Linked DNA regions of Ovis aries. The protein of the gene in region 1 purifies or fractionates together with the protein of each later gene. This does not show direct contact. Links are inferred from orthologs where the notes say so. Each region holds a gene or a part of one and is shown on either strand. Other genes may lie near its edges.

What was found. The genes of interacting proteins can lie anywhere in the genome.
Region 2: the proteins of SHC1 (region 1) and LRRK1 purify together in Homo sapiens (affinity purification with mass spectrometry; 3 studies listed by BioGRID and IntAct, with this or other methods). This does not show direct contact. The link is inferred for Ovis aries from reciprocal best matches to the Homo sapiens genes SHC1 and LRRK1.

Annotation. Positions count from the first base shown.
Region 1 is NC_056054.1:105,194,956-105,199,014, reverse strand, and holds the start of SHC1 (SHC-transforming protein 1), read left to right. Parts: upstream 1-1,251; 5' UTR 1,252-1,383; exon of another isoform or gene 1,384-2,350; coding exon of another isoform or gene 2,351-2,356; exon of another isoform or gene 2,357-2,360; intron 2,361-2,401; 5' UTR 2,402-4,059. Other genes in the region: CKS1B (cyclin-dependent kinases regulatory subunit 1), read right to left, coding at 834-892. UniProt on the Homo sapiens protein: Signaling adapter that couples activated growth factor receptors to signaling pathways. Participates in a signaling cascade initiated by activated KIT and KITLG/SCF.
Region 2 is NC_056071.1:4,897,979-4,901,549, forward strand, and holds part of LRRK1 (leucine-rich repeat serine/threonine-protein kinase 1), read right to left. Parts: intron 750-3,571; coding exon 578-749; intron 1-577.

The DNA of each region.
Region 1 (4,059 bases):
TAAGAGCTTATCAAATGCAAACTCTGTATGGAGTCCTTTCTTTATCATGTTTGGTAAATCCTATGTGCTCCCACCACAACCTACATGTACATAGCTCTATTATACCAATTATCATCTTCTTTCTGAAGCCTGTCAGTATTTCCACATATTTTTTAGGTCTGTTGAAAGCAGGGACCATGGCTTATCCGTGTACTTTAGCAGAACACCTGAAACCTATAAACACTCCATAATTGTTTCCCAAGTAGATGCCCTTCAAACATTTGACGGTAATCTATTAGGGCCATATTAAGTCTTTCCTCAGTGGTTCTGGTCAGTTTTACTCGATTCCAGTTCCTCGAAGCCCCCCTTCCTAAAACAAATCAGACAACCACGCCCCTTTCCCATGGATTAATAAGCAACACTCAGGCTCTCTTAGAACTCTCCTCACTTTGAAGACTCGAAGAAAATTCAAGCTTCGCCTTTGCCACCTTCTCCCAGAAGGCTCTACGGTGTGGCTGTAATACAAGCAGTCTCAGGAAGGCAAGTTCAGTTTACTCAACTGAGGTGAGAGAATGGTCCAGAAACCCGCAAAGCTGAGGGTGGTCAGTATTCTAACATTCGAACACTCTAACCACGACCACCCATGCCTCCTTCCAAATTCGCTATCACTCTAGGGGTTTTTTTTGATTGCCCCCCTACCTTTCGCGCATGCGCCTCACACTCTCAGCACACCCATTCCCGTTAACCTCCCGCGCATGCGCCAACTCTGCAGTTTTCAGTCCCCGTTACCAACTTCTCGTGCCCTCAGTTGTCAGAACTCACGACCTTGATATTGCCCCCGCGCCGGCACTAACCGGTACTCGAACTCCTCGTCGTCGTATTTGTCCGAATAGTAAATTTGTTTGTGCGACATGATCACTCTGCCTGAGGACCTTCAGCCCCGCGCCGCCAACCTCCGAACAACTCCCAGCAGCACGCGCTCCCACCCTCTTTGGCCTCGCTTTCAAACACGCCGCCTGCGCTTTCTATTGGTCCCTCTGCCGGAAGGCGGGACAACCCCACCTTCAAGCCTCCGATTGGCTTAGGTTTGCTTCTACTCAAGTCCTCATTGGAATGAACATTGCTCAAGAATTGCCGTAAGTAAAAAATAGACGTTTTATTGGCTATCACTGCTACTGTGCTCGTCCGCGCACTGCCATTGGTTGATTCGGGAAAGAGGGACGGGTGAAGGAGGGACAATGAGGTACAGGGTCAGGGGTTAGTGAGGCCGGAAGTGAGTGCAATAAAGTTTCTCCAGGGAGGCCGGGCCCGGGGAGAAAGTTGGAGCGGCAACCTGAGGAGACAGTGGCGTGATCCGGAACCAAATCGGCCCGCGGTGCGGTGCGGAGACTCCATGAAGTCCTGGTGAGTTGGGACATTTTTCTTCTTAGGTGACCCACTCCTCTACCCCGGAACCCCTCTCCCGGGACCCTACTTCCGGTCTTCATTTACAAGTCCCGCCCTCTGCGACCCCCTCCCCGGAAGTCCCACCTCCCAACTTCAGGGGGCTCTCCGAACCCCGACTTATATTCCATTTACTGTCCCCAATCCTACCCTGTCGTCCAGCTTTCCTGGAAGTCCCACCCCCAGACATGCTTCCAAACCCCTGCATTAGTCCTTCCGATTCCCCGAAACCCCGCCTTCTCGAGACTATTCTCCGTTAACCCCTGTCTATCAAAAGCCTAACTCCCAAAAGGGCAGAACCCTGCTACTCAAAGAACTATTCGAATTCGTGAGGCCACGCCTCCCTAAGGGTTCCGCCCCTTTAGAAGCCTCGCCCCTTCCTTAATCCACGTCGGATCGTCCAGAAGCCTCGCCTCCTGGGAGTCTCTGGTGCACGCGTCTTGAGGGGCCACGCCCCTTCAGGAGCGTTATCCCGGTTGGACCCTTGTCATCGCCTCAGGAGCTTTGTCTTCAATCCCAGAAACTTCACCTGCTTGCGCTTCCTCGTTCCTTTTCTCTTTGGGGCCCTTGGCTCAGTTTTCCTGAGCTCTTAGGCTCCACTGGATAGGGTCAAAAGTTCACATCTCTGACTCTGTGGAGTAAGAGATTAGAGGCAGCCCTTTCCCTCTCCCTTAGCCCCTTCCAAGGGTGGACCTACTTGAAGGGGGCTGGACTTGGGGTTTGGCACGAGAGTGGGAGGGAGACTTGCTCACAGATTCCCTGCCCCACTCCCTGAGTTTCCCTTCCCAGGACCGACTCCACCCCAGAAACAGCTGTTTGTCTCATACCTGTACGACGGGAGCTGGGTAGGGCCGTGGATTTGTCGATGTGTGACATGTGGGTGTGACAGAAGAGAAAGTTTTCTACCACCTGAAGACGGTGGCTTGGAATGGGTGTAGGTAACAGTGTCCTTTTTGATGTTTGATTTTTTTTTTTTAAGGGACTCTTCAGGCCCCACCACTTCTCTGGCTCTTCCCCTCCCCCAGACAGAGTTCTAGTCTGGGCATTTCTCCTGGTCCTGCTTGCCCAGCCTTCCCTGCTGGAAACATTCCTGAGGCTTTCGCCATTTCCTGCTACTTTCCGCCTCTCTTGCCTCCTCCTCCCTGCTGAGCTGAGAAGCCACATGCAGCTTCTTCCCCACACCCAGTCGTTCAGATTCCCAGTAGCAATCCCCTTTCTTCCTTCAGATTGCCAATAGCAATCTCCTTTCTTCCTCCGTAAATTTAAAGAGCCCTACTTCCTCTTTCTTTTCTAAACATGCCCACACCTGTAGGTCATCCCTTGTCTCTGGATTCTGCAGGCACCCACAGAATGCTCACCTCTAAAGATAGGATATCCTGGTGTGTGCTTGTGTGTGTGTGGGGGGTGGGGGGCGGTGAGGCTTTGGCAGAATACTTTCCTCTTTCTCTGTTTCTGAGTGCTGAGGCCTTAGGAAACAGTGATAGGTTTTCTTCTCAGGAGTGGTGCATGGGGTGGTAAAGCTCTCCTGGGTTCAGGACTACGGGGGCGGTGGTAAGCACAGTATCTAACATGTTTTCATTGTCAGGATTGTTAATCACTGTAATCACAATAATTTGCATTTTTTTAATATTCTGAAGTAAATTTAAAGATAGGTAATTCCGAGGTGAGCCTGCTGAGGGTATATGTATCTTTTACTACTACTTCTATTTGGTTGCTTTCCAACTTCCCCTGTGGCCTCCTGGAGCAGAGCTGTGGCAGGATGCTGTGGGTGGGAGGAATGAGTTTGGGACTGTTCCCTGTGTCCAGCCTCAGTCCTCTTCTGGCACCCCTTTCTCATGAGCACAGATTTGACTTCTGCGCCTCTGTCCCTTCCTGGCCACTTCTCTTGGACAGCCGTTGCACTGCCCCATCTCCTGTGGTCAGACTCTTTCCTTGATATGAGGGGTATCATGCTCCTTGGTGGATACCTGCCCTCTCTCTGGTCACTACTAAAAAGGAGGGGTATGTGTTCACCTGGAGGTCTAGGGATCTGACCTTAGTGTCAATGCCCTGGCCACCCCTCACCCCTTCTGCCCTTGACAGCTTACTTTCCTGTGGAAGAGGGGGGCAGAAGAGTATTTGGCTTGGGCCTCTGCTCCTTGGCATGGTAGGCGCCATGCATGGAGAACAAGCCTCCACCAAACTGTCCTCTGCTCCAGCTCCTGCCCGGTGGCTCCCTGATGTGCCACCCAGCTTGGACTTTATTCCTCTTACTTTAACAGCTTTGCCTTTCCTCTTGGCCCCTCCCTGCATCCACTGGGACCATGTCCTTCTTTTTCCCATTTCTTTAGCTCCCTCCACAGCTGTGATAGCCAAGGAGGCTAATGGCTCAGGCTCCCTAGGGCCACCACCCCTCTGTGGGGCAGTGGTGGGGGGGCGCTGGGGCTGGAGGCTGAGGGAATTTGAGTGTTCAACCAGGACAGGAAGGGAATTGCTGAGCTCAGGGATCCCCTCCCTTTCCCACCCCCAGCTGCCTCTGTTTCCTCCCTCAACCTCCTCCTCGCCCGCCGCCCCCCCCCCCCCCCCCCCCCCCCCCCCGGCCCCACCGGTCCCTCAGCTTCCTGCTCTCTTTGGCCTGCCCTTGTCCGGTCTGGATTG
Region 2 (3,571 bases), on another chromosome or scaffold:
CTCCCAAACCAAGTTAAAGTTCTATGCCAGTGGTTCTCAAGCTTGACTGGACAGTGAAATCAATCACCTGGAGAGCTTTAAAAAATATGATCCCTGTGTGCCATACCCACAGATTCTGACTTGTTGGTCTGTGTCTATTAAGAGCTCCCCAGGGGAGTTCAGTCACAGCCTGAATGGCAAAACCATGGTTCTTCTGGGCATTATCCCTGAGCAACAGCATATTCAAGGTCAGTGTCTGGATAAGCAGACTCTGAGTCCCGGTCCACAGCCACAGAGCCAGGGAATGTGGACGTTGGTAAGACTGAAACCACTGCTCCTCATGGGATAGTCTGTCCAAGACAGCTAGGTGCTGATCTGGCATTCACAGAATGACTCAAGCGGGTCTGTGGCCCACAGGAGAGGAGGCAGCCACGCTGTCCCAGTGTCCGGACCCTAAGCCAGCAGTTCTGCTGCAGGAAAGGGTCTTCAGTCAGGCTCCTCCAGCAAAGGGTGTCTCCCTCCCCCCACTCCCACCAGGGCATAGCCGCAGGGGCTTGGCCTGCAAGCAAATAGTGCCCTATGCAGAAAACGCAACTACCTGGAGGTCCATCTCAGCCAAGCTGATCAGCATCCGTGCTATAAACCTCTGCCAGAAGCCAACCGGAACGAAGCTCATCTTAAACACTCTCTGAATGGTGTTGGCTGTGGGGTGCCGCATGCCGTGGGTGTCCAGGCCGGGTTTGGACGGAAGCAGATGCGGCAGGAGGTAGCTGAAACACCAAAGAGGGCTGCTGAGCCAAGGCCTGAGCTCTGCTCTGGGGCTCTCACCCCTGCAGGCAGTCTGGCCTGGGGCGGGATCTGCCAAAGCAGCGCAGGTTGCCCGATGCCTTCCTCCCAGGGCCTTTGGAACCATTTTTAGAAAGAGGGGGTAGTTTATATGGTGAGCATAAATACTCCAAGAGAAAACGAAGATGGGCATAGCGAATCAGTTTGTCGAAGTCTCTAAGATAGAGACTAGAACACGGCGAGGGAAGACGTGAAAACATCTGTGGTCATAAACACAGACACAACAAATCACAGTCGGTTCTCTGTAAACCGGGTTGCGATTGGGGAGTTACTTAAAATTAACTTCGGATGGTGAAGGAAAAACAAATACAGCTGCACAGTTCCAAGGACAAGATATCGGGGGTCAGAGAAATGTCTTTGGCCTGAGAAGCTATTTATTGTTCTTGGCCAGTTGAGATAACACAATTACCTTGAAATTTCGAATGAGGCTCTTTGTGCAAAAGAATGATGTTTTATAAGAGCAGTCTTACTCATAAAAGGACTGAACTGCAGTGTCAGTGAGCTGTTCATGACTGTGATCACTTTTAATAAGCTGAAACGAGGGAGGTCCCTCCAATAATTCCCTGAAAACCAGCATCTTCTGTGTGTCCTGGAGGAGCTAAGATGGCCTTGGGCAGAGCCTTGGGTGTGTCCTTAAAGGCTTGCTTTCAGTTCTCTTAATCCTTTAAAATTCCATTAGTGTAGGTCCTATAAAATGTTTTTAGGACTTTCTGAAAGAAACCCCTGAAAACACTATGGAAGGAAAATTCAAAGACAGCCTGGGGGTGGAGTCCCCAGGGTGTCTTCAGCACACGGCCTAATCTCATTGCCATTCTGCTTCCTTAATGGCAGAAGAGTGGGGATGCCAGCCTTGCAGGGTTAGAGAAGAACGGACAGTGGCTGTGTAGGTGAGGTCCAAGGGGACAGATGGTGGCGTTTCGGTCCTTTTCAGCCATTATAGGTCTTGGCCCAAAGGACCTTGCCAATGAGCCCAGCTGGAGTGCCTCTCTCCACAGCCAGGAATTCTCTGGCACATGCCTTTTAGTTCTGAGAAGTCCTTTATCTCTCTGACCTCAAACAGGAGGCCCTTGTCAGTGCCCAGTGAGATCTAGCCTGCTTCTTCTGCCTATGCCATGCTCAGCTTGGGCACATGGGACCCCCTCCGTGGCTGTGCCCTGGGACTTCCCAATTTTTTCCATCTGGCCAGCGTGCCCGAGGGAGGGGGCACACTCTGTACCCAGGTGCCCCAGCACGTGGCACACACAGCAGGTGTTCAATATTTTTGAAGGTACGGATGACTTAAAAGCCAGAATGGCAAGTGAAGAGGTTTAAACTGATGGGCAAAGGAAGCCCCTCTCAATGTGAGCAGAGCCCTGGGCGAAACCACCAGCACTGGCTTTAGAGCGACCACTAACAGGGCAGGGCTGCCAAAGGTGTGGGCTTGGGGAACTAAGAGGGGAGTTCTTCACGTGCCTGCTGACTAGAAAGCCATGAAGACCTGGGCACTGCACGGGGTTTGCACTACGGCGGAGCCAGTCCATGATACGTCCCTGAGGCTGTCTTAGCAGTTGGGCCAGAGCCTTCCCCGAGTGCTGAGAGCCAGTGCATCCCCGCCTGGAAGAAGTACAAACACTCGAAAGTGTAGAGAGAGGTTTAGAAAGGCCCTGAAGGTTTTCCCAGGGACTGCAGGTTGAAAGGAGCAGCAAATGCCTTTGTTTTTGTTGATCATATAAAAGCTTATGGTGCAAAGAGCTGAAACTCCTTGTCTCTGGGGTACAAGGGACCCATTATATCTACACTTAGAGGTAGGTATAGTGCTCAGACACTCCTGACTTTAGATGGAACTAGACACCACTGACTATGAGTACTTAACGCAAAGATAGTAACAATAACAGCATTGATGATCCTGGATGTCCCTGAAGCTCAAAGGTGCAGGAGATACGTTTCATAGTTCACACGTACCCTCTGATTTAATCCTCACATTGACTATAATACTAGTAAGTGATAGTATTATTTCTATTTTACATATGAGGAAAAAAAGAGGCAGTTGCTTTTACAGAGTGAGAGTATTTCCGCATTCCTCTAACCTGCTGATAGAATAATCAGAAAACTGTCAAATTCCGGCAATGCTGTAAACTCACAGGCTGCTTTACCAGGGGCCAAAGTCAAGGACACACCTGGGCCAGGATGGGAGGGGTCATGTGGATTCTGAATTCCCCTTTGGGGTTTCTCTTTTTAGGACTCACTCTTGGTCCCCATGGGGCTGAAGCAGGAAGGACTGAGGCCCCTCCCACAGTCATTAGGCCAAGTGGATATATGGGTGGGAGCTCAGGAAGCGATGGCCCAGAGTTGGCTCCCAAGAGACCCAGACTGTGCTGATGGAATTGTTTGGCTGGCCATAGAGTGGCCAGGCCAGCCCCCGGAGGGTCCCGAGGGTGTTCCCCCAGAGCTCTGGGGTTGAGGGGCCGGGTGGTGCTGTGTTCTATGACAGGCATCAAAAGGGTCTGGGGATTTGGCATCCTGGCCACTGCCTCATGGCCAACATCAGCATCAGACCCAGGAAACAGCTGAGACTGAAGTAGAGAAAGGAGGCCCTGAGAACCAAGCCAGAGTGCCGTTAGACTGAACCCACATGCCCCTCGAGTCCCTGCCCTCCCTGCATTTTGAAACTGGGCTGGATAGTTAGCATGCACACTTTTGTACCTACTCCATTTTTACTCATCAAATAACCAATCAACCGCTCAAAGCATGAACTCCCCAAAGCTAC